4 linked regions of the Struthio camelus genome follow. The protein of the gene in region 4 purifies or fractionates together with the protein of the main gene of each other region. This does not show direct contact. Links are inferred from orthologs where the notes say so. Each region holds a gene or a part of one and is shown on either strand. Other genes may lie near its edges. The genes, in order: GPATCH8, TNPO3, PSME3IP1 and CLK3.

The links.
Region 1: the proteins of CLK3 (region 4) and GPATCH8 purify together in Homo sapiens (affinity purification with mass spectrometry; 3 studies listed by BioGRID and IntAct, counting the BioPlex papers as one, with this or other methods). This does not show direct contact. The link is inferred for Struthio camelus from reciprocal best matches to the Homo sapiens genes CLK3 and GPATCH8.
Region 2: the proteins of CLK3 (region 4) and TNPO3 purify together in Homo sapiens (affinity purification with mass spectrometry; 4 studies listed by BioGRID and IntAct, counting the BioPlex papers as one, with this or other methods). This does not show direct contact. The link is inferred for Struthio camelus from reciprocal best matches to the Homo sapiens genes CLK3 and TNPO3.
Region 3: the proteins of CLK3 (region 4) and PSME3IP1 purify together in Homo sapiens (affinity purification with mass spectrometry; 3 studies listed by BioGRID and IntAct, counting the BioPlex papers as one, with this or other methods). This does not show direct contact. The link is inferred for Struthio camelus from reciprocal best matches to the Homo sapiens genes CLK3 and PSME3IP1.

The regions. Positions count from the first base shown.
Region 1 is NC_090966.1:268,052-274,963, forward strand, and holds the start of GPATCH8 (G patch domain-containing protein 8), read right to left. Parts: upstream 3,015-6,912; 5' UTR 2,899-3,014; coding exon 2,854-2,898; intron 1-2,853.
Region 2 is NC_090942.1:1,545,223-1,553,123, forward strand, and holds the start of TNPO3 (transportin-3), read right to left. Parts: upstream 3,014-7,901; 5' UTR 2,816-3,013; coding exon 2,690-2,815; intron 1-2,689. UniProt on the Homo sapiens protein: Importin, which transports target proteins into the nucleus. Specifically mediates the nuclear import of splicing factor serine/arginine (SR) proteins, such as RBM4, SFRS1 and SFRS2, by recognizing phosphorylated SR domains.
Region 3 is NC_090951.1:29,704,423-29,712,227, reverse strand, and holds the start of PSME3IP1 (PSME3-interacting protein), read right to left. Parts: upstream 3,017-7,805; 5' UTR 2,902-3,016; intron 1-2,901. UniProt on the Homo sapiens protein: Promotes the association of the proteasome activator complex subunit PSME3 with the 20S proteasome and regulates its activity.
Region 4 is NC_090953.1:23,500,622-23,507,872, forward strand, and holds the start of CLK3 (dual specificity protein kinase CLK3), read right to left. Parts: upstream 3,016-7,251; 5' UTR 2,959-3,015; intron 2,102-2,958; coding exon 1,953-2,101; intron 1,242-1,952; exon of another isoform or gene 1,160-1,241; intron 1-1,159. Other genes in the region: cingulin-like, read left to right, coding at 6,003-6,218, 6,628-6,728. UniProt on the Homo sapiens protein: Dual specificity kinase acting on both serine/threonine and tyrosine-containing substrates. Phosphorylates serine- and arginine-rich (SR) proteins of the spliceosomal complex.

The sequences.
Region 1 (6,912 bases), on a different chromosome or scaffold from region 4:
GACTGTACGCATCCTTTCACTTCAAAACCATCACAAGCAGATCACCCGAAAACTAAATCTAAGGGATTCCTCTATGGTCTTCCCCACGTTGTCAACCCCCCCCCCCGCCCCGCCATGCTACATCAATCCCTATTCAACTCGTATAATTGTAGAGCACGATCTCCTCTTTGTCATGCCGACTTAGGTCTCAACAGACTAGCAATAACACAGGGTCAAATTCATAGTCATGCTCCATCAAATCACAGAAATTTCATATGGTGAAACTCAAGAGTTACAACTACTATATGTTGTGTGAAAAAAGCATTCTTAACACTGATAGAAACAGTCCTATAAATGAAGCCTACATACAAATTTATGACTTTACACTAACAGAGAAATAATTTTAATTTTGCTGTAGTTTTGAGACTAGTATTGTATACTGACCATGAAAAACAGTGTGCTACAGGCATATTTATTTTTACCTGCGCTTAGCCACAGCATAACTTTCACAGTGGACCTGCAAATAAACACTCAAAATAGCAAACTATTTCCTTTATTCCACACCAGTCTTTTATCTCAAGTAAGATCTCAGTCTAGACACAGAGAAAAAAGTCAAAAGTAATCTTTGAAAATAGTTTTGATGAATAACTAGAAGGAAAACCAATAAGATCAGAAAAGCCATCCTCCACCAACATACTTCCAGAAAATTATTAGAACAACTATCAGGGATCATTGTACTGGTGCCTGATCTCCCACAAATTCAGTGTGAGCTTGGCCAAGTCACTTAGGCCCGCTTTCTCCCATGATCAGCGCTTTTATAGCCCATCATTTTTATATGTTCAGTCTTCCGCAAGCTTTAACTGACTCTGAATTGTTCTGCACTCAGTTTCTTCCCAGAGGACTGATTCCCCTTCTCCATTAAAGGGAGCTTTAACACACAAAATAAAATGTCTTCTTGTTCGCAAATTTTGAGTGAAGAAAGAATGGAGAAGTTACCCTATTATAAAATTAATCCCTCCTTTTTTAATTTTTTAAAGATAGCCAAAGGGCCTGACAATGAATGCTTGACATTTGGCATGGATATAGTCCTAATTAAAAATAGTGCCTTTTTTTAAGGTGAGAGGAAAACAGAGTTGTGACTGGGTTATTGTTTCTGAGCAGGCTCAGCAGCTTTCAAGATTTCAGCATCAGGTAATGGAGCCCTGTTTGCTATCTGACCTCACTACACATTCTCTCTGCATGACCAGATCAACGCAATGACACAGTAACAGGTTTTGCCACTACAATTGTGTTTTGTAAAGCAGGTTGCCCTGCAAATGTAGGAAAAAAAAAAAATCAAGGATAACAAGAAAAACACGTATGTGAAGAAGTTGTGGAATATATGATTATAGAGCCTAGCCATTTCTTGGCTATATCCTAAAATACTCTAGCTGTTCTATGTTCCCATCCTCTCCCCTCCAAAAATCAAACTACTCGTAGAAATGTATTTTCAAACTGCAGAAGTTTGGCCCACTCCGCTTCCTGAAACAGGAACTTCAAAGCCTGATCAGACCATTTCAATATTAACCATGAGGCATGTCTTCATTTAATGAAATAAACTATGCAAGCCATCCGCTGTGTTTAATATTAGGAAGCCATACTTACAATCCATAGATAAGGTAATTGGTGAAGTTAACCATGTTGATACATATTTGCCCATATGCTTCTAATATAGTTTAATACTCACTACTTATGAAATGCGCATCCACTAAAGCATCCAAAAGAATTACTACTGGATGTCCTGACTGTTTCAAGATGGTATCTTAATGCTACACTAAGTAGAATTATGCAAGCTCTGTAATTATAAAAAACAAGAAAAAAAAAACAAAAACCACTCCCAGCTCCTTGGATGAAAGGTGCAAGTTTACATGAAAAACACTACTGTGACTTTGGAGTCTTGAAATAAGAATGACCACATAAGAGATAATCAATAGCTGTTCTCTAGTTGCATTTATTCTCACTCCCTTTGTTTTCCCTTTTGTAACCTCAGGACTCTCTCAGGCTCAAGTCAGAAAACAAAATGTCATTGTTTGAGCTTAATTAGTCAACGTTAATTTTACAGTTGTTTATTTAAATCCACTTAAAAATACCAACAGTGGCATTAACGATGCAGAAACACTAATATTTTATTACAAAAAAAAAAAAACCATGAGAAGGAAAACGCATTTTCCACAAAGAATAAGGGACGTTAGCACATGCTGAAGGCAGCTGGAGAAACGGCAGAGATTTCTTCGTACGGTATTTACGGCTCTATTTGGGGAAAGCACGCTGCGAGAAAGCAGGAAACAGTTCAAAAGCAGGTGAGAAGAGCGGCGAGGCAGGAGCCCGAGCAGCATCCCACCGGGGACCCCGCTCCCTCTCCGCCTCCGTCGTAACACACCGTGAAAATAAATGCAGGAAAAGCACTGCTCCCCGCTTTGGGGCGGGGGTGCTCTTCACCGGGGCGAGCCGCCCCGGGCCTGGGGGAGGGGGAGCGCCTGCCACGGCCCCCCGTAGCCCCTCCGCCGCCGTTATCGCCCTGCCCGGAGCAGCCGGCGGGGGGAACCCCCCCAGGGCCCCTTGGCGGCTCGGCCCCTTCCTCAGCCCTTCCCGCGGGTCACCTTGACAGCCCGCAGCGCCGGCCCGGCCCGCGCCCCGGCACCCCCGCCGCGCTCGCGCCTTTGTGTCGTTACCCGCCGCCGCGGAGCGTCGCGGCCGCGCACAAAGCCCTGGCGAGGGGCGGCCGCGGCCCGCCCCGGGCCCGGCCTGCGGGGCCGCCGCAGCCCGAGGGGCCACTGCGGCCCGAAGGCGTGGGGTGGGGCGCCCCCGCCGTCCGCCGCTCGGCCCGGGCGTTACCTGGAAGTCCCTGTCCTCGTTGAAGCGGGAGAACCTGTCCGCCATTTTGCTCCTTCGCCGCCGCCGCCGCCGCCTCGCTCGGCTCGGCTCGGCCCGGCCCGGCTCCGCGACTCACGGCCGCCTCCCCTCAGCGCCGCGGTAGCGCGCCCGCCCCGCCCCCGCCGCGCGCATGCGCGCTGCTACCGTGCGGGCCACGGTCACGTGCCGTGCCCCGCCGCCGCGGGGCTCCGCCGGGCTAATACGGGCGGGCGGAGCGGAGGGGTGCGGCCGCGGCGGCTGGGGCAAGGCCCCCCTCCGCGGCGCACGGGGGCCGGGCTGACAGGAAGAAGCTCGTTGCCAGGGGCTGGGGGAAGGAGCAGCAGCGCGCGGGGCGGTCCCAGCCAGGCGGCTCCGGGGGAACGGGGCCGTGAGTTATGCCCGGGTCCCTCCGCAGGGCGGCGGCGACAGCGGCTCCCCCCGCCCCGGCGTGGGCCGGAGCGCGCACTGCGCATGCTCGACGCATCCCTCGCGGAGCCGCCGCTCTGCCCATGCGCGAATCCAGATCTCGGCCCGGGAAACAGGAGGGCGTGAACCCTGCTTCAGCCTTCCAGCCCTCGCGACTTGAACCAATGGGGCTGCCCCAAATTCTTGAGTGATATCAATAAGAACCAATGGGAGAGCGGGCTCGCCCCGCCCCCGGGGTGGCGGTGGGTGCTGCCGCCTGGCGGGGGCGCGCATGTGTGAAGGGCCCTGAGAGGGGCCGGGCGGGGCGGCTGGGGGGCGCTGCTGCAGCCGGTTCCCCGTGGAGCCCTGCCTGGGGCGTCGGGGCTGCCCAGCACCCCCGGTGCGGTGCGGACAGGTCGCCGGCCCCAGCTAGCATAGAGGCCCAGGCCTGAGGGGAGCAATGGCGCCCGGGGCCGGGCTGTGGCCGTGGCCCTGCTGCTGCCCCAGGCCCACCGCTGGGCCCCGGGGCCTTTCCTCACCCCTGTGTCTCACGGCAGCCCACAGGGCTTTGAGAGCAGGGGCTGGGCCCATCTTTTCCATTCACTGCCTCAGCTGTCTCTGAGCATGGCGCCGCGCGGTGCTGTCTCTCTGCAGTCCCTGACAGCAGGAAAATCGGATTCCATCTGTCTCCATTCACCCCGTTTCCTTCTCTCGCCAGAAGTCTTGTGGCTCAGGTCCTGCTTGCATGCTGCCCTCTGCCGCCTTGTTGAGGAAGGGTGGACAGAGAGGTGTTCAGAAACAGGCTGCGTTTGCAGGAAGCCTTTGGGCTCCAGTGCTTTGCAAAAAGACCTTTCTGAAGTCTGTTGACCAGACCATGCCTCCGTGTGCTGCACGTTATCTGTCTGCAATGCAAATGCCTCTCGTGACAAGCCCTGGGCGGCTTTCTGCAGGACTTCACCTGCCAGCTGTCGGTCGGATGCAGGGGAGGCTGAAGTTGTGCCTGTGCGGTCAGGTCCGAAGTGCTTTATCCTATGCAGTATGCTTTTAACAGACCTGACTTGATCTATTGCTGCAGTGTGCCAGTCGAGACTGTGCTGCCAGCACTCCTTCCTGGAGCTCCATCAAATATCTCCTGCCTCTGACAGTAAAGGTAATGCTTGTTAGGAAGGTTGCTATTCTCATCGCTGCCTCCCTTCAGCAGCCCTACAGAGACACTCCTCCAAGAGTTTCCCCTAATCCTGGCTCTCCCCCTGTCTCCCAGAGCTGGAATTTGAATTGAATTTGCCGTGCTAAAGCTGTGGCCTTTCTGTGCTTTTCTTCAGCCCCTCTAAACACCTCAACCCCGGGGCCTACGCAGCTCATCCCAGATCAGCAGACCTATGTCAGGGCAGAGCCAGGGCCCCTTGCTAATCCCTTCCCGCAGCGGTTCGCCGCTCCCTGTTCCTGCCACAGCAGCAGCCCATGGCGGGGGATGTGTGTGAACAGATGGTGCCACAAAAGTGTTTCTTGCCATCCCGTAGGCAAGGCTTTTTGGAGAGGAGCCTCAAGGCAGCTCGCTCTCTCCATCTCCCTCTGGGTGAGGAGTTGTGCCCTGTGCCAGCAACACTCCCAGATGAACAGAAACAGCCTCTGTGCAGATGTGCCCTCTGTGCACCTGAGTTTATACCACTGTGAGGGGAGGGAAAGTCTCAGAGAGGCTGTGGTGATAGCAAGGGGGAGCTGAGAGCATGAGCAGAACAGCAGCCCCGAAAGACGGCAGAGGAGAGTCCGGCAGCAGCGTTCGTGCTGCCGCGAGCCTGGTGGGGCTGCACAGCCGTGGCTTGGGCAAGGGGCAGCTGCTGGTGCAGAGCCGGCAGGCCCTGTTCTGCTCTGCTTCTCTCTCTGCTGACGTCCCCGTTGCTTAGCCTGGGGCAGGATGGAGAAACCAAGGCACGGAGGGGAGCAGGATCACAGGAGGGGCAGAACTCGGGCTGCGGTGTCCCTGTTCCCTGCAGCGACCACACTGGGGCCCCGAGGAGCAGGATGGTGCTCAGCAGCAAGTCCTGGGGCCAAGGAGCCTGTGTCCATGGAAGTGCTGGAGCACAGCTCCTCTCGCCACCAGCCCTGCCCTGGGGAAAGGGCTCCCAGCTCCAGCCTTTTTGCTTCCTCGAGTCACATCAGCGTTTTCAGAGGGGTCTGTCCCCCCTGCCATCCTGAAGCACCCAGACGGGATCATGAGGGCAGGGTGTTTGCACACCACACCGGCCAGGGCAGGGGTTCCTCCCCAGGACACTGGGCATGGCCACCCCCATCTCGCACCTGCCTTGCAGGATGGAGCAGTCAGTCTCTTGGGTGGCTCAGTCGAAAGGACACCCATGTCCTGCAGCCAGCCCACTCGTGGGTCCTAGGTGGGCACCCAGGGGCCCTGGTCCCAGTGCCGGGGCTGTGCCCACGAGGGGGAGCTCCTGCTCCACCCAGGGCTGACAGCAGGCAGTGGGACCCCCCACCCACATGCTGGGACCCCCACCTTGCTCCTGGTGCTTGGGCCTGGCACAGATGGGACCAGGCAAAACAGCACCCTGCTCTTGGGGTTGTGCCAGGCCCCGGGTGCCAGGGCACCCACAATTCAGGGCTCAGCATGTGCAGCGTGGGGGGCTGCACTGGGGGGAGGGCAGGGCTGGGGCTGGGGCGTCAGAGGAGCCCAGAGCCCTGGGGCTGGCAGTCAGTCAGCAGCAGACAGCGTTCGAAGAGGGGGCAGGAGCCAGGTACCTCCACAGTAAAGACTCAGCTCCCGGAGTCCCGTTATCTGGGCTCTCCTCCCACAGCAGGCATTGCTGCCAGATCCTGGGCTTGCCGGCTGCATGCAAGCCCTGTTTTCCTGCCCCCTCCCAGTGTCGGCATCCAGGACACGTGGCAGGGGGATGGCTGCAGCTCGCAGGGGGCACACGGAGCTCCCTGAGCTGGCCATGGCTGACCAAAGGGCAGGCGGACAGGCTCCAGTGAGGGCTCAGGGGTCACCATGCGGGTGGCTCAGCATTGGGATGACTAAGCTAGTCATTAGGCCCACAGCAAGATGCCATTTCCCAACCCAATCTGGAGCCATTTCAAGCTGGGTGGGATGAGTCCCGGGGCAGGGAGCGATGGTGCCCACAGCAGGAGAGCAGCTGGCACCCGGCATCCCAGTGCTGGTGGCACTGAACCCAATTGGGCAAGGAGAAGGGAGTGACCTTGTTGGGGTGGCAAGTCCCACGGGAGGGCCCAGGCATCCATGCAGCTTACCCTCCCTTCTCAGTGAACCCCATCCTGCTGGATTCACAAAGCCTTTGCTTCTTCTTATTAATGTGTATAGGGAACCCAGCCCTGCCAGGACCTTGGGGTGGGGGGGGATCTGGCACCTCGGGGTGCTGAGCTGGGGACAGGGGGTGGCTCCCTCCTGGGGGCTGCATGTCCGAAGCACCAGCTTGTTCCCCTAAACCATGGGTTGGTGGGGCTGGAGGCAGCACCCTTTCACCCTGAGCCTGTCCTCCCCCCGTGCCTCAGTTTCCCTGAGTGCTAAAGGGGTGAGCAGAGCCCAGCAGGCAAACCAGGAGCTGGAGCAGGGACTGCTTTGGGGCATCAACGCTGGGTGCTTGGTCTGTCCCCACCCCATGAGTGCTG
Region 2 (7,901 bases), on a different chromosome or scaffold from region 4:
TTGAGAAAAGATAAAGAAGTTACTTCCCTCTAAAAAGCAAAGGGATCCCCTTTGTCTTCTGGCCAGACTGCTGAGGTACTTCACGCACACTTATCTGCGCCACAGGACAAAAGCAGCTTCGCAGAGGAATTGTCTGTTCAGTCACTAGAGATTATTTGTACGACGGCAAGTTAGTTAAAGGGAGCAGCCAGCGCAGAAAGAAGCGTTCAAGGAGCAGAAGGCAACAAAGGCTTAAATTAAATAAGCACGCTTTTGATTTAGTTTACAAAACGATCTGGAAAACACAGATAAGCGTCCAAAGCAACCACAGCTGAGCAAAACAGACCACAAGGCTTTCCACAGGGACAGAGACGAATGAGAAACCCCATCCTCGTGGGAGGCCAGGTTTTTTTAAAAATTAAGACCCAAATGCTTCCACCGCTCCTCTTGATGGGGCAGTGTGTCTCAAGCACGGCTCACAGGCCCTACAATGCCGTCGGGGGGGCCCTCTGCTCCTAACGCAGAAGTAACCGCTTCAGACTGCAGTCTTGATGTTCAGCAAGTTACCTTGAAAGCAGGACGCTATCCACTTCTTTGTCCTGTCGCATCACCAGCTGGCTCTAGATTTCCCTCTCTGCCCCAAAGGCTGATCAGGAATTCATCTAGGCACATAGCAAAAGCGTTATCTGTTCCAGAAATAGATCTGCAATAATTGCAGCACAGTTTACTCTCTTTCAACTCTAATATAGAATAAAAGCTGGAGTCTTTAGTTTGCCTTTGGCCTTCTCAGGTAGGGATTCAGCGGTTTAGGAGGCCTCACGTGACAAAAAAGGAGAATCTCATGCCGCGATTACAAATTTAGTTTCTGAAACAGGAGTAACCTCACAACAAAGTCACAGACTGGGCAAGAGAGACACCGCTCTGGAAATAAACTGAAACAAGATCTTCACGCGGCCACAACCAAACCCCTAACGTTCATCAAGTTACCTTAAATGCTGGTGTGAGGGTACAGCCCAGCAAGGCGACAGGGTCCAGGGGGGCTCTGCTCCACGTCTCAAACCGATCAGAAGAACTGCTGTGTGTCTGCTGTGTGTTGGCACTCAACACTTGGCAAATTCATGTAAGTTTAGTTGTTCTCCTTGCACACCCACCCCACGTACTTTCCAAATGGTGAAGACCGCTTTTTCAGGAAAAGATACCATCCAAATATACATAGACTTGATTAATCTTTATAACTGGATTTTTCCCAAACTTACCAGAATAGTTGCAGAAGTAAATACTACTATAGACTCTTACGATAATTAGGAATCCAACTCTATTCAGCTCAAGTAAATTAAGGAAGAAAACATGAGTTTGTTGTAATGAATGCTGTAAAGAGGTACTAGCCAATGAGAAGTTCAGAGCAGCAACATTTATCTAGCAGATTAATTCCACAGTCACTACTTATCTCCTACAAAGTGAGGAAGCTGAACAGAGCTCTGTAAAACTTGCTTGGGAAGACACTCGAGGAAGCAGAGGAGAATTTTCTGCTGTCCTTCACAGCATTCAGGCTTTGAGACAAGCAGACCAGTGCAGGGGGCAGAAGTCTTGCTCTTCAAGAGGTCCCAGCATGCTAGACAAAACTGATCAGAATTCAGGATTCACTGCTTCTCCTCGGAAAACACAAGCAGCCTCCAAAGATTTCTGGCGGGAGGGGCGGGGGTAGAGGGGACGTGTGGACGGCAGAGGAGGAAAACTAGACATCAGCGACACAAAGGACGCCCGCTCTATGCTCCGCTCTACATAGCTGAGAGCCATACCGATACAAAAGACAACAAGGAGAAACAATAGGCTTTAGGGGAAAAAAAAAAAAATGAAGTCACTCCCAGCCTTACAACCAAGAGCGAACAAATATGTTTTCAGCAAGAGAATGCCCTGAAGTACGGCTAGGCCAAAAAACATACATCAATTTCTAAATTTAGTCTTGAGGCTAAAGTCCAGCAGGACAGAACTTGACATCAATCACTTCAGGGTTTCAGAAGCGAGCAGCAGTGCTTCCACTCCTCTGGTTCACCGTAAGCTAGAGCACGACTTCGACTGTTTTCCAGGGGAAGCCTCAGCTCTCTCGGCCGTGGGCAGGCCGGGAGCAGCGGGCAGAGCGGGGGTGCCCGTGGGGTCCATCACGCCCGGCGAGAGGAGGGGTTGTGGGCCCGTCCAATACCTTTCACAACGTTTCCCTCAACCATTTCCTGCTCCTCAGCTACCACAGAGGCTGTGCCAAATAAGGCAGCCTGTCTTTCCTGTTCTGGTCAAGGAGCCTCAGCGCGGGCAGACCGCGACAAAAGCCAGGCCTTTGCGCTCCCCAGAGCGGACTTGGAGAGCGGTAACGATAACAAAACACCACCTCGCTGCTTCGGGTGAAGCCACGAAGACAAGCCAGGTCGCCGAGCAGCTGCGGAGGGGCTGCCCGCCAGCCAGCTCCGCGCCGCCGGACGTCGACCAAACTCCCGCTCTCACGCCGACAGGCCGCGGCGAGCGGGACCGGCGACGCGGTGGGCAAGAGCGGAGGGGACCGGGGCACAACGCCGACAGCCGCCGGGGCAGGCGAGCAGCGAGGCCAGGCCGCGGCCTGGGGCGAGGCCTACTGAGCTCTCCACACACTTCCCCCCCCCCGCCCCCAAAACCGGTCCTGCCCCCCGCCCGAAACGTGCTCCACCGGAGCAGGCCTCACCGATCGCTGGAGCTCGCCCAGCCAGCAGCTCGCCCGCTCCTTGCCGCTGGGGTCGGGGTCGTGGTAGAGGGCCTGCACGGCCTGGTACACCACCTGCAGGCTCGGCTTGCCCCCGCCGCCCTCCATGGCGCTGCCGATGCTGCCGCCGCCGCCGCTCAGGGCCGCCGGCCGCTGCCGCCCGCCGCCATCTCCTCGCCCTGCGCCGTCCGTTACCGGGACGGGGCGGTGCCACGCCGAGCGCGGCCCCCGCCGGAAACACGCGCCGAGCCGCGCGTTCCGCTTCCGGTCCGGCCAACCCCGCTCCCTCCCTCCCTCCCGCCCGCTGCCACCGCCCGCTCGCGCCGCCCGGAACCGCCGCGCCGCGCTTCCGCCGCGTGCGCCGCCCAAAGCGGCCCGGCCGGCACGGCGGCGGCGGGAAGAGACGGGCCGCCCCCCTCCACCCCCCCCCGGCGGCGGCGCTTCCGGGACCCGCCCCGGCCGCCATTGTGCGCGCGGTCTGGGCCCGGCCGCCAGCCCGGCCCTGAACCCCGTGTGGACCGTGGTCCCCGGTGCCCCCGGCCCGGTCCCGTCCGGCCCCCTCCCGCTCCCCCCCCCCGGTGCCCCCGGCCCCGTCCGGTCTGTCCCCCTCCCGCCCCCCCCCGGTGCCCCTGGCCCGGCCTGGTCCCCTCCCGTCCCCCCTGGTGCCCCTGGCCCGGTCCCCTCCCGTCCCCCCCGGTGCCTCCGGCCCGGCCCGGTCTGGTCCCCTCCCGTCCCCCCTGGTGCCCCCGGCCCGGTCCCCTCCCGTCCCCCCCGGTGCCCCTGGCCCGGCCCGGTCCCCTCCCGTCCCCCCCGGTGCCCCCGGCCCAGTCCCCTCCCGTCCCCCCTGGTGCCCCCGGCCCGGTCTGGTCCCCTCCCGTCCCCCCCGGTGCCCCTGGCCCGGTCCCCTCCCATCCCCCCCGGTGCCTCCGGCCCGGCCCGGTCTGGTCCCCTCCCGTCCCCCCCGGTGCCCCCGGCCCAGTCTGGTCCCCTCCCGTCCCCCCCGGTGCCCCTGGCCCGGTCCCCTCCCATCCCCCCCGGTGCCTCCGGCCCGGCCCGGTCTGGTCCCCTCCCGTCCCCCCCGGTGCCCCCGGCCCAGTCTGGTCCCCTCCCGTCCCCCCCGGTGCCCCTGGCCCGGTCCCCTCCCATCCCCCCCGGTGCCTCCGGCCCGGCCCGGTCTGGTCCCCTCCCGTCCCCCCCCGGTGCCCCCGGCCCGGTCCCCTCCGTTCCCCCCAGCTCGGCCCGCTCCTGTCCCCCCCCGGTGCCCCCGGCCCGGTCCCCTCCCGTCCCCCCCGGTGCCCCCGGCCCAGACTGGTCCCCTCCCGTCCCCCCCGGTGCCCCCGGCCCGGTCCCCTCCCGTCCCCCCCAGTTCCCCCCGCCCGGCCCAGTCCGGTCCCCTCCCGTCCCCCCCCGGTGCCCCCCGCCCGGTCCCCTCCCGTCCCCCCTGGTGCCCCTGGCCCGGCCCGGTCTGGTCCCCTCCCGTCCCCCCCGGTGCCCCTGGCCCGGTCCCCTCCCGTCCCCCCTGGTGCCCCTGGCCCGGCCCGGTCTGGTCCCCTCCCGTCCCCCCCGGTGCCCCTGGCCCGGTCCCCTCCCGTCCCCCCTGGTGCCCCTGGCCCGGCCCGGTCTGGTCCCCTCCCGTCCCCCCGTCCCGGCCCACTCCTGTCCCCCCCCCGGTGCCCCCGGCCCAGACTGTTTCCCTCCTGTGCCCCCCCGGTGCCCCCGGTCTGGTCCCCTCCCATCCCCCCCCAGTACCCCCACCCCGGTCTGGTCCCCTCCCATCCCCCCCCAGTACCCCCACCCCGGTCTGGTCCCCTCCCGTCCCCCCCCCCCCCCGGTGACCCCTGCCCGGCCCGCTCCGCTCCCGTCACCCTCGGTCCCACCAGCCTGGCCAGTGTCGTCCCAGTTGTGGGCACCAAGGGGCCGCAGGAGAGGGACGTTCAACTGGCACCTCTTGCCCCACCGCACCCATTGCACCTGCGTGGCCATGGCAGGGATGAGGGAATTGGGGGGGTGTCCGGGTCAGGGATGGGGGTGTTGGTGGGGATCTAGGGCATGGATGTGGGGTCGGGGTGTCTGGGGTAGGGACGAGGGGACTGGGGGGGGGGATGGGGGAGATGGCAGGGGTTCAGGCCTGCCATTCCTACAGGCAGCAGCGTCCCACAGGCAGAGGTGTCCCATGGGGAGAAGCACCCCAGGGAGCAGCAGTGTCCCACGGGCCGTGGTGTCCCATGGGGAGAAGCACCCCAGGGAGCAGCAGTGTCCCACGGGCCGTGGTGTCCCGTGGGTGGTGGTGTCCCACCAGCAGCAGCCCCGGGGAGCTGGGTGCTGGCACAGGGCACAGGGCAGGGGGGGCTCCTGACCCAGCCCTAACGCGAGAGGGAAGCGATGGGGGACCAGACCCCATGCTGGAGGGCAGAGGGTTCACAGCATCACACAAAATCACAGAAGGGTTGAGGTTGGAAGGGACCTCTGGAGATCATCTAGTCCAACCCCCCGTGCTCAAGCAGGATCCTCTAGAGCATATTTCCCAGGAGCGCATTCAGGTAGGTTTTGAATATCTCCAGGGAAGGAGACTCCTCTCTGGGCAACCTTTTCCAGTGCTCTGTCACCCTCACAGTAAAGAAGTTTTTCCTCCTGTTCAGATGGAACTTCTTGTGTTTCAGTTTGTGCCCGTTGCCTCTTGTCCTGTCACTGGGCACCACAGAGAAGAGAGTGGCCCCATCCTCTCTTGACACCCTCCCTTCAGATACTTGTAGGCATTGATGAGTTCCCTTCTCAGTCTTCTCCAGGCTGTACAGGCCCAGTTTCTTCAGCCTTTCTTCACAGGAGAGATGCTCCAGTCCCCTACTCAGCTTTGTAGCCCTCTGCTGGACTCTCTCCAGTAGTGCCATGTCTCTCCTGTACCGGGGAGCCCACAGTTGGACACAGTACTGCAGATGTGGCCTCAGCAGGGCTGAGTAGAGGGGGAGGATCACCTCCCTCCACCTGCTGGCAACACTCAATGCACCCACCCCAGGAGACCATTGGCCTTCTTGGCCACAAGGGCACACTGCTGGCTCGTGGTCAATTTGTTGTCCACCAGCACTCCCAGGTCCCTCTCGGCAGAGCTGCTCTCCAGCAGGTCAACCCCCAGCCTGTCCTGGTGCCTGGGGTTCTTCCTCCCCAGGGGCAGGAGCCTGCACTTGCCTTTGTGGAACTGCATGAGGTTCCTCTCCACCCAACTCTCCAGCCTGTCCACGTCCCCCTGAATGGCAGCACAGCCTTCTGGTGTGTCAGCCACTCCTCCCAGTTTAGTATCATCGGCAACCTTGCTGAGGGGGCACTCTGTCCCTTCCTCCAGGTCATGGATGAATAAGTTGAACAACCACCACTACCTCTCCCAGACTGACCTGTTGCGTCTCGTCAGGACCTGGACCTCCCGCGGCCCCGGGGTCCAGGCCGGAGCAGCCCGGCGATGCTGCCGCAGGCGCCCAGGGCCCCGGCGCCTGGCTTGAGCCAGGGCAGAGAAGCGGTCATGGGGGGACTTTCCGGCCGCCAGGCGCACGGCCAGGCACGCGGTTAGGACCTCCAACATGGCCCACCACATCCTCCGCTTCCCCAAATGACTCCTGCCTGGGGCTTTGGCCCAGGGCTCAGGGCATGGGGGACGCCAGGCTCGGCCCGGCCTCGGGGAAGGGGCAGCTTGAGGGATCCCAGCGTGGCATGGCCCCATATAGGGGACCCCTCACATCAATCCCTCCACTGCTATAGGTGCATAGGGGACCCCGTGCAGCACCACCCATTGCTACAGGTATATAAGGGACCCCCCACCAGCCTGGTCCGCTCCCGTCCCCACCGGTGCCCCCGACCCGGCTCAGTGTCCTCCCAGGTGCGGACGCCAAGGGGCTGCAGGAGAGGGACGTTCAACCCGCACCTCTTGCCCCGCTGCACTCATGGCACCCGTGTGGCCAGGGCAGGGCTCGTGGCATTTGGGGGGGTCCAGGTCAGGGATGGGGGTGTTGGGGGGGGAACTGGGGTGTCTGGGGCAGGGATGAGGGGACTGGGGGGGGTCTGGGGCAGGGTCCAGGGCAGGGGTCCGGGGCAGGGATGAGGGAGATGGCAGGGGTTTAGGGCTGGCATTCCCAGCCTGGCTCCCCAGGGAGCTTTGACCCTTCCTGCTGTTGCTGATAGCGTTCCTGAGGGCGCTGGGGCCTTTTCTGGCCTTTCTGATGACGTCGCCGGGGTCATTTGGGCCTTAGCTAGCGCTGCTGTTCCCTCGGTGCTGGAGACCCACGGCAGGGACCAGCCCATGGCGGCCCAGCCCCACAGAGGGGCAGGATGCGTCCCTGTCCTTCCCTCCATGCTCCATCCAAGTCTGCATCCCCATCCCTGTACCTATCTCCATCCCCATGTCCACCCCCATCCGTGTCCCCATCTGCAGCCCCACCACGTGTCCCCAGGTGCCCTCAGCAAGGGAAGGGCGTGCTGCTGGCAACATTGGGTGTCCTGCGGGAGCCAAGGTGCCACAGCGAGGAGCCGGGACGCGGGGCTGCTCTCCTCTCGCTCAGCCCCAGCCCACCTCAGCCAGGCACCACTCATGGTGCCTGTGATGGGGACGGCACAGTGATGTCACCTCCTGCAGGTGGCAGCAGCTCAGCAATGTCCCACGGGCAGCAGCATCCCATGGGGAGAAGCACCCCCTGAGCAGCAGCGTCCTATGGGCAGTGGCGTCCCATGGGGAGAAGCACCCCCCGAGCAGCAGTGTCCCACGGGCAGTGGTGTCCCATGGGGAGAAGCACCCCAGGGAGCAGCAGTGTCCCACGGGCAGTGGTGTCCCATGGGGAGAAGCACCCCCTGAGCAGCAGCGTCCTATGGGCAGTGGCGTCCCATGGGGAGAAGCACCCCCTGAGCAGCAGCGTCCCACGGGCAGAGGTGTCCCATGGGGAGAAGCACCCCAGGGAGCAGCAGCGTCCCACGGGCAGTGGTGTCCCATGGGGAGAAGCACCCCAGGGAGCAGCAGTGTCCCACGGGCAGTGGTGTCCCATGGGGAGAAGCACCCCCTGAGCAGCAGCGTCCTATGGGCAGTGGCGTCCCATGGGGAGAAGCACCCCCTGAGCAGCAGCGTCCCACGGGCAGAGGTGTCCCATGGGGAGAAGCACCCCAGGGAGCAGCAGCGTCCCACGGGCAGTGGTGTCCCATGGGGAGAAGCACCCCAGGG
Region 3 (7,805 bases), on a different chromosome or scaffold from region 4:
AACTAGTAAGACAAACCACCTATTACCCCTTCTTTACTATTTCTCATAATTATGTCTTCCCTGTTAGGAAAGTGTCCCGAGGCAGACAACTAGAAGTGACATTACAATGTAACTTTCCTTACCTCATCTTGGATTTACCTTGGCAAAAGAAAAAAAGAGGGAAAAAAAAAAAAAAAAGAGAAAAGAAAAAGAGCCTCTTACACACTTTTCTTCCAGTTCCTGCACCTCTCTGCTCTTGAGAAAGCACATGAAACTCGGCCGTCATTTTACATAAGTTTTTTGCCCATCCCGTGAAAACCTGAAGTAGTATGCCTATTTTCAGTGATTTCAGAAATTAGCAGCTAAACTCTCTAATCTTCCAAAACCTTTTTGCATCGCTGCGTGTCAAGAAGACAATGTGTGCATCATCCCCAAAGAACAGTTTGGCATGCCCCACCTCAAACCTACTGTCCCCACGTGGACATTATTGTAATTGCCACTCCCAGAGAAAGTAGGGTCAGAGCTTGCCTCTCCTATTCACTCTAATAGCATCCAGGTAGCATGAAGAAACTTCAGAACCAGGGTTTTTAGAGCTAGACTTGAGTAAACTATGTTGCAGAGAGTGGTGGTGGAAATTAACAGTGATTAGATGTTAAAAAAAAAAAAAAAAGAAAAAAAAAAAGAAATTTAAGTCCTTTGGCAGGGTTATAGAGAACCCAAAAGGCGAGTGGAAGAGGGAACTCTCTCTGGCTGCAACAAGGCTGGGAGTAGAAGACTGGAGCAGTGTTACTAGACCAAGTGAGTACAGCTCCTTCACACTTAACATATCTGCCCTCCACTTCAAGAGATGGTAATACTTGAGTACTGGGCAGATATCCCATTTCAGTATCAGGCCCAGGGTGCAAATCCTCCATAGATACATCCTAAGAAGGAAATTCATGGTCTTGACACCTATAACTCCAAGATGAAACAACGATAGACTGCTTGTGCAAGTCCTATTTGGCTCCTTCAAGTTATTCTGTCCACTCTATGGGCTATGAGAGGCATTATTCCTGACTTATTTTTTTCTTACTTCAAGACTGTATACCGGAGTACAATACAAACATAGGATCAATAGCTATTCATTTAAAGTTATGCTAACATCACACTTTTCCGTTTTCTTCACATTTCCCTGATATAGCTTCAGCAAGTACCTCAAGGACTACAGATAACTGCCACATACTGCTAAGTCTTACGCATTTAGGATCTAGCTCTGCCTGCATTTCCACACTGGAACAGAACTGAGTACCTATATTCTTCCAGAGAAGAAGGAAATAACTCAAAATAATGGAAGGAACTAGTGTATCATACTTCCTTTGCACCACAAAGAACCATTCCTGCAGGAAGCCCAGTCCTGAAATTCCTACAGAAATTGATGCTTTTGTGGCCTACTACTTGTATCACAAATGACAAACGGAGGTCCTAGTAGAGATCCAGGTTAAGCACTGTACAAATATTTACTAAAACACGATGCATTCGTAAGATGTGAACTAACAAGGCAAAGAAAAGAAACAGATTTTCTTTTTAAGCGTGGAGAAAGGAAAGAGAGGTCAAGGGCTGGTTATTTTCCTTTTCTAATCTAACAAAAACCCACCCTTAAGATGAGTCCAATTTCCAGGAAGCATGGTGCATGTGCTCTTTGGAATGTCATTTCCAAAGGTGGCTTGAGGGGAAAATCCATAGAGAAACTGAAAATTGAAACTCTCTCCTCAATATAGCTCCTAACCACAAGATCAGCTTTCCTACTGAAGTGCTGCACAAGCAAGATAATTTTGTTCCCAACTTGTGTCATTTCAGCTTGTCCTTTAGACAGGAAATGTCTACAATGGTGACAAAAAAATCATAAAAACAAAAGGAAGAAACAGAGTCAGCAAGGGTGCAGCATCATTTCAGGACTAAAGCTTTCAATAGCAAACCATCTGCCTTCTGGTTGAGCCACTTAGCCAACATACTGTAACACAGTGGAAATAGATTAGGATTTAATTATGATGCGACATAGAACTAAAGTACTTTCGCTATAATCCTGGAGAGTAGCATCTAATGAAACATTTTATCAAATGATGGCTCTACTGACAGCCTCATCTTGGGGCACTGAGACGGGGTGGGGGGGAAAGATGCAGCGAAGCATGTAAGTATATACACACTTAGAGGTCTGCTAATCTTGCTGCAGTATTTTCTTTCTCGCATCTCACACACATATATATCCACAAAGTCTTCCAAACCAGAAAAAATACTTCACGTGTGTTTGGAAGCTGCCCTTTTATTAACCTTCTTGTCCAGTGACTATGTTTTAACGAAGAAGTTAGATGTCATCATTTCAGCAGCACAGCAACAGAATTCCAAGCAGTAAACTGGACTTTTTTGTGCTAGTAGATGGTAACGATCCCAGTATTTAAAAATAAAAACTCACGGTCCTTGTCATTGCTCAGGCTGGAACATGCCTACAGCAGAGGCGGTATCTCTGGTATTCGCGTACACCTTCCAACACGTTAAGACCACCATCGCTAACGGGTAAGTCAACACGTTGCTGTCACAAACGCCTAGCAGCTCTCCCAGCGCCTCCCCAGGGCGCCAAACCGAGCGCACCCTGAGCCCGCCACCAAGCGCGCCGCAGCCGGGGACCATCACCGAGGCCCCGGCCCCGCTCTCCCGGGCTGGCGCAGACGGGCAGAGGGAAGCAGGCTTCCCCGGAGGAGGCCCGGGGCGGGCAGGGCCTGTTCCCCGGCCCGCGCCGCCGCGCCGCCCCTCTTCCCGGCTCTCCCGCCGCAGGGCCCCGGCCCCCTGCGCTCCCCGGGCCCCGCCGCCTGGCCCCGCCCGCCCCCGCACTCTCAGAGCCCCGACCCCGCCCAGGGCGGCGGCCGCGGCGGCGCCGCCAGCACGTACCGCGGCCCGGCAGCCCGTTACAGCAAGACGCGCAACCCAGCCTAGAGCGCCGCCATTGCTCCCCTCCCGCAGGGCCGCTCCGGTTCGCTCGCCGCCGCCGGCTGCCCCGCCCCTTCCGCCTGAGAGAGCCAATCGAGAGAGCTCTTCCCCAGGGAGCCCCTCCCCCACTAACCAATCCTAGCCGCTCTTACGGGAAGGAGCGCAAGCCGCCGCCGCTCCGCGCGTATCAGGAACGCGCCGGGCGATTGGCTGCGAGGTGACATCAAGGCGGCCCCGCGCCGGGATTGGCGGAGGTTTGCCCGGCGGGGCCGGGGCGGGGCAGGACGGGTCGCCCGGGCGACGGCGGGGGGCGGAGCGGGCCGGGGCGGGGCGGGGCGGGGCGGGGATGGTCGGTGTGTGGCCTCCATCTTTCCGCCGCGCGCCGCGGCGGCACAAAGGAGCGGTGCTGCCTCGCCGCCGGCCCGAGGGGGCGCGGGCGCCGCGCGGCCCCGGTGCGTAGCCGCGCGGGCGCGGCCGGGGGGCTGCGGCGGGGCGGGGCGGGGGCAGGGCTGGCGCGGCGCGGCGGGGAAGGGGCAGCGCCGGGCCGGGCTGCGGGGGGCGGTGGGCCCGGCGCTGCCGACGGCTGGGGCCGGGCGCTCCCCGCGGGCTACCGGGAGCTGCGCGTGTGGCCGCCGCTGGGCGAGGCGCCGGGAAGCCCGGGGCTGGGCCGGGGCCCGGCGGGCAGCGCCCGCGGAAGGGCGAGCTCCGCTCCCCGGGTCGTGGCCGGTGACCCTCGCTCGCCGGAGTAATCCTTGCTTATGCAGGTACTGCCGTGGCGTTTAGCGGAACAAATTGCATAGCTGGAGTTCTCTGTGTGTGATTGAAAAAGAAAGAAAGGAGGAGGAAAGAAAAAAAAGGCAAGGGGCCAAGATGAGGCTCTGTTTTCGTTGCGCTCTGTTGGGCGGCTTGCATGGTTGAACGCTTGCTGAATGCTCTGCATGGAGGCCCCGGCAGCAGAGCTTGGTTTAGATGTAACCTTAGAAGCTTGCCTAAGCAAGCTGCAAAACTTGCACGAGGCGGGAGTTTGCTGGTGCTGGGACTGTGCTCCCGAGAGCTGCGGTTGTTCGGCACAGCGAGGTATTCCAACTTCTCAGGTCCTGAGAGAGCCTCCTGGTACTTCTATGGCTTGCAGAACAAGAGCTCTGCTGCAGCGCGTTGAAAGGAATTGGGTTTTAGTACACAGAAGACGAAATGACGTGCTCCTCTGTGATCTCTTGGGAACCAAGAGGCGTTCAGAAGAATTTTGTTTAGCCCAGGAATATGTTTTTACTAAGGGAAGCAGTCTGAATCCTGAAAACCTTATTTACCGCTCCTTGTTTTTAAAAGCATTTTTCCCAAATAACTTTTCTCTGTTTTACAGAGAAAATATGAAGATATTGAGTAGGCTACAAAATGCAGTTATTTATCCAGATCTTTTGTTTTTGCTTGCCTGAACAAAAGATTAGGCAGTGGCACCTTGCGTACTAGTGTTGTAACACTGTTGTACTGTTTTATTCTCTTAGTTTGGTGGTTACAGAACAAGTCTCTTCCTTGCTTTGCACAATCACAGTATCAAACTTGCCTTTGTTTCTAAGGCCTTTGATTCTGTTCTACTGGTCACTGTTTCCATCACATGCATCTTTGTTTTTTTCCTTCTAATTTTTTATTGCTAATCCTTATTTTATGACATGTATCAGGAGGTACGGTATCCTTCTGGGTACCTTCTTGATGCAAGTCCTGAGCGTCAGTGTTTTTTTTCCTGTTTTGTTACTACTAAATCTGACTCTGAATCTCTCAGTAACCACTCCAACCCCAGAGTTCATTTTGGTAGTCAGTTGTTAATTTGTCAGCATTCCTTATGTGACAAAACTTTGGTCACAGCCACGAGAGATGCCTTTTTCTCTAAATATGTTCAACCTTCTAGACTCGCACTATTTTCTGTGGTTTTTTTTTTTTTTAAAGTCTGTGTCAGTATATGCATTCTTCAACATAATCAAGGAGGTTTTTTCAGCTTGGTCTTGGGTTTTTCATCCTTGTCTCTTGTCTTCCAGTTGATGTGTTTTTGATTTGTTTTTTTGTCTTGTGCTGATCCTCATTTCAGTTCAACTTTACTCATAATTTTCTATACATCCATCTTGACCGATACTATGAGGTCACTATCATGTGCAGACCTAAATACATTTGTCGTCTTCCTGTCTACTGTAACTCTTCCCTTTCTTAGTATCCCTCTTCTTAGTATTCAAACCTTCGCTATTACCTTGCTAAACTAAACAAAACTGTTAAAGGTGAGTATTCTCATCACCCACAAGCAATCTGAAATATTCTGTTCTGCTATTTTGGACTCATTCATTTAGCTATCAATTTCTGGAGGACCAGGCATTCTCAAAACTTGTCATAGCGTCTTCAGAGTCGAGGATGCTGTTGGTGTATTTTTCTTCTAGATTTATCCAGCTGCAAAGAATTGATCTGTTCTTTGCTCTGGTCTAAATCTGGCCTGCAGTTCTTCAAGTGCTTTTGCATATGTCTTTGTTCTCCTCTACCCAAGCCCACTCAGCAAGAGAATTCTTCTGTAGTCTTGGCACCGCGTTCTGTTTTTCTTCCTTTAGGTCATTACTGTTCCTGCTTTGTGCCCCATTCACTGCTAGTTGTTCTCATTTGTAAGTCTGGTTGAATAGGTTGTGTGTTGCCTTTACTGTATTTTTTTCAAATGCTTGCAGCACAACTGTAGTTGCGTGATTGCTTCTTGCTGTCTTTCCCCTTTTCATCCAAGCACTCTCTTGAAGACCCTGCTAATTCTGACGGTTTTTAACATCTATTTTCCATCACTTATATCCTGAAGGAGCTTCCCATACTTTAATGTAGTGTTTTGTATCGTATACAACTCCTGTAGTTACTCTTGCTATTGCTTGTTCTTTATTAGCTTAGCCTTAGTTAGTTACCTACTTTTAGATTGCTAATATCTCTAGGTCAGATATTCTACTCCTTCTCTTTATGTTCTAATATAGTATCTGTGTGCGTCTCTGGGAAAAGAGGGTTATTGGTTTCCTTAAGTCTTTCATTTGCTTTTTTTATTCACCTTCAGTCTCTTATGTATGGAGTTCAACCGCAACGCTTCATCTGTTAACTGCCTTGATATCCTGCTCTCTGGTCTTTTATTTCAGTGATTGTTCAGTGGCTCTCATAATCCTGCTTTATGTTGTTCCATGTGTATATATTTTTTCAATTTTTGCTTTTTCTTTTAGAAAGGATAGGTTGGTTTCTGCACAGCTTCTCAGTGTTCTTTTGTGGTATGTTTTCAGTATTTTTACATCAGAGGTCTTGGCTCTCAGCATGTTTTGTTTGCTGTGAGTCTCATGGATGGCCATGCTAGTTTACGGTCTGAAATAAATTAGTTGTGATCTTTTGATTCCTGTCTGTACAGTATGACATCTCTTATATTCTGCCCATCAGGTGATATCAAAGCCGATTTCCCATAAGCTTTGTTCTTGAAGATTAAGAAGGAATAACATGAAAGATATTGAGTAGCCAAAGCAATAGGTTGCTGATAAGTGTGGTGATTTGTTATAGAACACTTATTGTTCTGTTACTTTAGGCTTTTGTGTTCATGTTTCCTTCCACATTAAAAATCTCCCGTAGCTAATAATGCTTTGCATTTTGAAACCTCTCTTGTTGCTCTCTTTAGGTCACTTAAATGTTTGTTGATGTGGTCACAAAATGACATGGATCTCTGCACATACACTATGACAGTTCCCCCTCAACCTAGAGGTAGCAAGTTAAAGTACTATCTGCTGGTAGTAGAATTGAAGGTGAGCTAGTGATAAGGTTTGTTCTATTCTGCTCCATTGTCAGTATGTTGTGTTTAGCATTTTAAATTCTCTGTACTGTTCTTTTCTCCCGAAACGGTGATTGCTTAGTAGGTTTTGAATGCATTCGTTGCTTTAAAGTAGTGCAGGCACATAAACTGCTCTTAGGTTCATTGTCTTTCAAGTGTCTTATTAGAATTTTGTCTTGTCATTTTGTGCTTTGCACTTCCTTGTGTCTTGTTGACTTATTTTGTTTTCCCTTCCTGATTTGTATGCAGTGACTGTAAACTTGCTATGTCATGGCAGCAGTTGTGCCAGCAGGATCTTTTTTTTTTTTTTCCTTTGCTATTCTTCATTGTATCCTTGGGGCCTAATATGAGTCAAACGTTCAAGCATGATTCCTAGATTTTGTGACTGACCTGTGGATCATGATCTATCTTTGGCCGTGCTCGTAGATATCTGGTACTGTGTTCTACCATTATGGTGGCCAAACTTGTGCTGTAGAAGTGTTGCCAACTCTCCTATGGGAGCTTTCTGTATTAATAGTCATTTTGGGATACTCAAATGTACCACTCCCTGTTTATTCATATACGTTTATTAATGAGGGTTCAATGACTTGCTGTGATCAATGACCAGAAATCCATCCTTTTCCAAATACATCTTTCCCCTTGTAGAAGTAATAGTTTCTAAGTATGCAACACACTTGCTACTGTAGTTACTTTTCTCTCAAGCCATTTTTGCTGTAGAAACACTTCACTTTGGCTTTGAGTCTCTGAACATCTTGGGTGTTTTGTTGGACGCAATGAGAAGGACCAGATTTGGTGTCGTTTTGAATTAAGTATTTTCCGGTATTGACCTGGCTTTTTGGATCGCTTGTTTCAGTACATGCGTACTAACTGGTATTAATATAGTTTGAGTCATGTAGTTCACAGACTGCCCTCTAACCTGTTTCAGAAGATTGTACCATTTGTGTGTATTCTCTCTCTGCCTGCAGGCAGAGTGAGACATGGAAAGTGATCTTGAAAATAGAAAACCCGGCAGGTTCCCTGTGGTTCTCTCGCCTAAAGGCAAAGCTATCTGGTG
Region 4 (7,251 bases):
ACAAAAGTTCCCCTTTGTCACCAGTTGTAAGCTGTTTTAGGTACTGTGCGCGCACATTAACTGAAGAACTAAGCAGCTTCTCTGTGCTCAGTTAGAGAGCATCTGTGAGCTGGAAGTGCCTCAAGTTAGAACCACCATTCTATAACTCCTGCTTTTTACTCTGCAGGTCGCAGCTTAATCCCACGGGCTTTCTTGGCAGAACTGTTACGGTTACATTTTTAAACAGTACAACAAATATGGCATCACTTAACCACGGTTGGCTTGTACGCTCAAAAGCATGACTGTCTTCCCCCCACCCCAACGGTTATTCTTTATCTCATAAAATACTGCCTTCAGTGCAAGTCTTGCTTCACACGTCATTGAATGAGAAGCCAAGGTTTAGGTAGGAGATGTTGTAACTCACAGAGGAAGAACAGCATATTGGCTTTCCATGAAAGATGATAATCAAAGCGTGATCAACAGTGGCATTCTGGGCACATGGCTGGCCAGCTTGATGCTGTCTTATGTACCTAGCTGAGACCAAAGAGCAACTGTATCTCTGACCAAGACCTTGTTGCAACTGCTCCACTCTGGAAACAGGAGCTTTCGTTGTTTCCTCCCTCTCTACTTTGGCAACAGTCAGCCCTCTTGCTGACAGCTTAACAGTACACAGATGTGCGCGTGGTAAGCAGGTGGTTCATTTCATCTTGGATTAAGAACAAACAGCTTTACACAGCCTGCCAAGCCAGCAGCAGCTTTAGGTCATCACTAAAGTATCCAAAAACAAACAAACAAAAAAAATACAGCTTTATACCAACACCAATACTCCACTCGAAACATACCCTTGTGAAACTTCAGGGTGGACTTTCAAGACACAGAGGATTCAGAAACAACAATGGAGAATTTGAAGGGCTCAGATAGTGAGGAGACCAACAAACCTGTAAGAAGCTCACAGTCTGAGCCTAAAGGGGCAAAAAGGTTTTCACCCAGCAAAAGATGTTTTTCATCCAAATCTGTTCTATATAATCCACTAGATGAAAAAGAAGAAGTCCACTGCGTGCGTCAGTTGTATTTCACAATGCACTTCTTCCAAGTAAACACAAAAGAGATCCAGAACAGAATTTAAACAACAGAACAATTAAGGAATTTAAAGATGAACTCAATTCCCTTTTAGCCGTACCTGTCCTGTTAAAACCGCAGCTGAGCCAGCGCAACAGCACCTGGACAAGCTCCAACACCACCGAGCAGTGAGGACAGCCAACCTATTTCAGTTTCAAACCATGAAGTATCAGCACACAGCTCTCTATTAACACTCCTATCTCTGTTCCAGAACCCTCACCCCAGACCCTTTTATCAGATGACAGTTATCTATTGCGCTTTCAGCACCTGTGTGCTAATTTGTCAGTTCCTGGGGAAACAACGAACAAAAGGATCAAAATTAAAATCCAGAGCCAGAACAGTAAAGCTCAGTTAAACTTATGGTATAACAGAGCAGAGATTTATAATTCCTTTCTGACAGTATAAGTGAGGTAAAAGTTTCTTTTTTGTTGTTTTTAAACTTTGAGTTGTAATTTCAGAAGAAAACGGGTTGTCAAGAGACAAAGACTTTAATGGCTCCGCAGCATTAGAGCTGGGAAACATGATTCCAGGGCAGGCTGTTCTCTCTCATTAATATTAAAAACGTGCCATTATTTTGGGAAGAACTTTTGGCTAGATATAGAGGCAGAAGCGCATAGGAGAAGGCAAACAAATAAGCCATTTACTTCCATCTCTGGGATTTACAGTTTTAAAGCTTATCCACAATCAGGAAACACAACGCGTCACCACTCAGTGCTAGCTTGGAAACATGACCGGGATCAACGACAAGTATATATTAAGAGCATAATCTTGCCCACACCTCACCTGTAGCCATGTGCAGATGCCAGAGTAGCTGCCTAGCAGAGGTGCCAACCTTTGATGAAACCGGCTCTTACCTTCTAGACCGTGATCTCCTTGCAAGATCCCTCCGGGGAGGGTATCGCAATCTTCCATCATAGTCTCTGCTGCGAGACCTCTTCCTCTTCCATTTGTGACCCAAGTAGGTCTCTTGCTCGGGCGACCGGTATCTCTTACAGTGATGCATCTAAAAACATTAGAAATTTCCAGTTTAGCACCTGGAACACACGCTGGTTCGTGCTCTAACCACTTCCTGAAAGAGTCACAAAGCTTCTTATCCCATCAAAGAAGAAAGACGGAGACAGAGACTGCCCTACACAGGAACGGGTGCAGGAAGGGGCTGCGAAAGCCACAGCAAAGATTCCCACAGACTTAGGACGAGTCCTTCGCAACAGGATCACGGAACGGCCGGGGCTGGAAGGGACCTCCGGAGAGCACCTAGGCCGACCCCCCTGCTCGGGGGGAGCCCCCCTGCAGCAGGTAACCCAGGACGGCGTTCAGGCTGCTTCGGAACATCCCTAAGGACGGAGGCATCCAACAGCCAAACACGCAGCCAACGCCACCATCGTTTAAGGTATGCCGTCGTTGCACCCTTCAGGCCTCCTCTCAGGAAGCAAGAGCTATCATCCAGTTTTCCAGTGCCCTTTACAATAATCTCTATACAAATCCGTGCCACCGCGTCTCCTCTGCGGCCGTGCAACCGACCCCCCTGGGGCCTGAAACCGGGCGGGGGTGGGAAAGTGCCTTGCGGGACACGCAGGGAGACGCCAAGGCAAACGTCCGAGGACAGGCACGGGACCAGACACCGGACCTAAGGCAAACTTGGTACAAACGTTCTCCTGAAGGGAGCAAAAGCCCGAGCAGCTGACGCACCCAAGCGACACCCCAGGGGCTGGGAGCCAAGCGCAGCCAGGCGGCTCGGGCCGGCGAGGCGCCGAGAGCCCCGCGCGGCCTGCGGCAGCCGCAGCGGCCCGGCCCCGAGCCCGGCCCCGCTCCCCGCCGAGCCCCGCGGCCCGGCCCGGCCCGGCCCGCCCGGCCGCTCACCGCCCCTCCGCTCCGCTCCGCTCCCCGCCGAGCCCCGCGGCCCGGCCCGGCCCGCCCGGCCGCTCACCGCCCCTCCGCTCCGCTCCGCTCCCCGCCGAGCCCCGCGGCCCGGCCCGGCCCGGCCCGCCGCGGCCCAGCAGCGCCCGCCGCTCCCGCTCCCGCTTCCGCTTCCGCCGCTTGCCGGCCCCGCCCCTCTCCCCTCCCCTCCTCTCCTCTCCTCCCCTGCCCGCGCCGCTCCGGCCGCCGCCTCGGTGGTCCGGAGGAGGCGGCGGGTTAACCCCTTCCTCGCCGCGCGGCGCCCCGAAGGCAGAGAGGCCCCGCGGGGGTCCTAGCGCCGGGCAGCCGCCGGGCCTCGGGCCTCGCCCTGGCCTGCCCCCGCCCCGCCGTGGCCTTCCTCGCCCTGGCCCGCCTCGCCATGATCTTCCTCGCCGTGGCCTTCCTCGCCCTGGCCCGCCTCGCCATGATCTTCCTCGCCCTGGCCTGCCCCACTGAGGCCTTCCTTGCCGTGGCCTTCCTCGTCCTGGCCCGCCTCGCCATGATCTTCCTCGCCCTGGCCTGCCCCACTGAGGCCTTCCTTGCCGTGGCCTTCCTCGTCCTGGCCCGCCTCGCCATGATCTTCCTCGCCCTGGCCTGCCCCACTGAGGCCTTCCTCGCCGTGGCCTTCCTCACCCTGGCCCGCCTCGCCATGATCTTCCTCGCCGTGGCCTTCCTCGTCCTGGCCCGCCTCGCCATGATCTTCCTCGCCCTGGCCCGCCACACCATGGCCTTCCTCGCCATGATCTTCCTCGCCCTGGCCCGCCTCGCCATGATCTTCCTCGCCCTGGCCCGCCACACCATGGCCTTCCTCGCCATGATCTTCCTCGCCCTGGCCCGCCTCGCCATGATCTTCCTCGCCCTGGCCTGCCCCACTGAGGCCTTCCTCGCCGCGGTCTTCCTCGCCCTGACCCGCCTCGCCATGATCTTCCTCGCCCTGACCTGCCGTGCCATGATCTTCCTCACCCTGGCCCGCCTCGCCGCGGTCTTCCTCACCCTGGCCCGCCTCGCCCCGGCCTTCCTCGCCCTGGCCCGCCTCGCCATGATCTTCCTCGCCCTGGCCTTCCTCGCCCTGGCCCGCCACACCATGATCTTCCTCGCCGTGGCCTTCCTCGCCGCGGTCCTCCTCGCCCTGACCCTCCTCGCCGCGGTCTTTCTCGCCCTGACCTGCCGTGCCATGATCTTCCTCATGCTGGCCCGCCTCGCCGCGGTCTTCCTCACCCTGGCCCGCCTCGCCGCGGCCTTCCTCGCCCTGGCTGCCGCTGGCCGGCGGGAGCTGTCTGGCTGCCCGTGTCCCGTGCGGGCAGCCGGGCGGGAAGGGGCCGCCGGGCCCGGGCTCAGGGCGAGCGGTCCCCCGGGCCCGGCCGGCGGGGCCTCAAGCAGGTCGCTCCTTGCCGCGGCGGTGACGGTGCCCGAGGGCACGGCCGGGCTCGCCAGCAGCCGGGAGGCCTGCGGGACAGCGCGCCCGCAGGCTGGCAAGGGGCCGGGTGCCTTGGGCATTTTGCACAGGCTTTTTTTAAGCACAGATTTGCGGTTTAAACAGTTGCTTTTTGAGCGCGCGGCGCCGCCGGTAGCGCACCTTCGGTCGGGGGGCCGACGAGCGTCACTGCTCGTCCCTGCTGGCGTGCGCAAGCGGTGCCGCCGGTGGGCTTGGGTGTCCCCTCCTCTTCTCCCCTTGATGTTCTCCCCGGAGCTGCCCCGCCAGGACGCCTCGGGTCCCTCTTTGTCGCCGTGAGAGGAAGGCCGTTTTGGGAACCGTGCCGTAACGGCAGAGAGGAAAAGCACAGGTCTCCGTTTTATCGTTATCCCGCTCCGGAGGAACCTGAATTGCCGCTTTCGGGCCGTTTAGAGAACAAAGCGCTTGTGGGTTGGTTGGGTTTTTTTTAACCTTGCAAATTGTTTTAACGCCCCAAACCCGGCAGCCTCGCAAGGGCCGGCAAGGGGAGGCCGGCGGCGGACGATGGAGTCCCACCACGGGGCCGGCGTCCCCCTGCGCGCAACCGCCCCCAGCGGCGAGCAAGGAGCAGCCGAGAGAGGAGCGGAAGGCAGCTGCTCGTAGCCGGCGCGCGGGGAGGAAAAGAGGCGATGGCCGTGCCCTGCGAAGGCTCGGGACGGGGGCGAGGGGCGGGGGGGCCGGCGGCCTGGGGGCGCGGAGCAGGAGGGAGGGGAAGCGACAGCAGGCGGTGGGCAAGCGGGCTGTAGGGCGGCGGATTGGCGTCCCTAGCGGTTAGGGCAGCAAAGCGGCAAGGTGCTGAAGTGCCGCTGGCGTAACGTGGAAAATACTCAGACCGGGAACGGGTTCCCGGAGCCGCGGCGCCGCCCGAGTTGCCTTGGTGCCGTCCGCAGTGTATTTCCTGGCTCCGGCGGCGAAGACGGGGAGCTGCTCGCTCCCTGGAGGCTCAGCGCGCCGCCGCGCCGCGGAGCGGGCTCGAGCCACCAGCGGGGCGTTCGCCGGCCCGCGCGCCCGACGAGGCTCTGTCCTGGGGGGTCCAGGTGATGCTCTTCCCTCTCCTGGGCGCCGGTAACGCTGTGAACGTGTCTCCTTGTTTTCTTTCGGCCACTTCCTGGATCGCGTTGCCTGGCCCCGCGCCCTCCTCGCTGCCTGGTGGGCGCTCGCCGGGGCGGCTGGGCTGCGCAGTTGCTCACGGCGGGGACCCGGTTGGCGTTCCTCGAGGTGGGACCTCCACGTCCACCGTGGGGCCGCCGGTCTCTCCTGTGGGCCCTCCTTGTCTCCTGAGCCGGCAACTCGGCGCCCGCTGCTCAGCCAGCGCCCTGGTCCCGCCGCGTCCCTTCCCAAAAGCAGCAGGGAACGGGCTCCGGCGGCACGGCGTGGACAGACGGCCCCTAGGGCTTCTCACCCGCCGTCCCCAACCTTTCGTCTTGCAGCTCGGGCTCGTGCCCGCGCCAGGCTCCCTCTTGCCCGTCGTGTGGGGTGATTGCCCTGGGAGCGTGCGGCGGGATCTGCGGCAGCCGGGACGTGCCTGAGCGCCGGCGGCGCTGACGAGCGTCCCATGTCGTGCCGGAGACGGAGCAGCTTTGCTGCTCTGCCCTCCCGATACAGCGGCGACGGGTGCTACCAGCTCCGTGTCGCCTTGGGGCCTCCCAGCTGGGCCAGGCTGGACGCTGGGAGGCAGAGGAGAGACCTCTGGGCATCTCGGCACCCGTCTGTCTCAACGCTGCACAGGAGCAACAGAAAACCCCTCTCCTGGGACCCCTTCCAGGCGGAGGTAATGGTGCAGAGCATCCTCTGCGGGGTTTCAGCACGTCGGCTTCGAAAATGCCCTTTCCACGCGGCGTTATTGCATGGTGCAGCCCACGCGTGGCTGGACTGCATCCCGCGGGCTGGCCTCGGGCTGGGTTTCTCGGCGCCTCCAAGCCGTTCAGCGCAGCGTGCTGGCACGTCCCCCACCACGGGCCCCTCTTGCCGAGCAGCCTGCACCATCGCTCCCGCGCTCTGCCCAGCCTCGAGTTACCCTGAGCACTTGTGGGGTGATGTGAGGGTGACGTTCCTTGGGCCCTTGTGGTATCCCGGCAGTGATTTGGGTGCAAAGGGGTGGAGGGTGAAGGGGATAGAGCAGGTGCAGTTGGGTTTCCTCTGCCCTTTGCCTTCAAACCACTGTCCCTTGCCTTGTTCAGACACTCCTCAATGCATCAGCCCCGTTCCTCAGCCCGCGGAGCGGCGGCACCGGCAGATCCACGAGTCCCATCCGCGGGATCCCCTCTGCAGGGACTGGGAGGTGAGGTCAAATGGAAAATGGGGCTGCAGAGCCCGAGGGGAGCAGGGCAGGGCCCTGTCCCTCAGACCACGAGCCCTGCCAAAACTTCACCCTGCTGGAAAGGACAGATATCTTTGAAAAGAGACACACACAGCGGAGGGGATGCCTTGTCCCAGCATGCTCTGCCCCAGCGCTCAGTGCTGTGTGTAGCCCACCCAGAGGTGCCTGAAGTGCCCGCGGGACCCTGAGCATTGCTGCAAGGGCCCTGATGCCTCTCCAGAACAAAGCGAGGCTGCTGGGTTTCATCTGCGCCTGGAAGGGCCGGCCACGTTTCGATGCCGTGGCTGCCTCTGTCACAGGAGCTCGTTCCTGCCGAAATAACACCGTGTGGGTGGGACGTTCACCAGTGGGAGCCTTGGATGCCTGAGGGAGCTGGGTGGAGAGCTTTCCTAGCCTCCCCCGAGTAGGCTGGGGGCACCAAATAGCCTGGCTGCTGGGCAGAAGGCTGGGGGCCCTGAGCCACCCTCCCCTCCCGACATCCCAC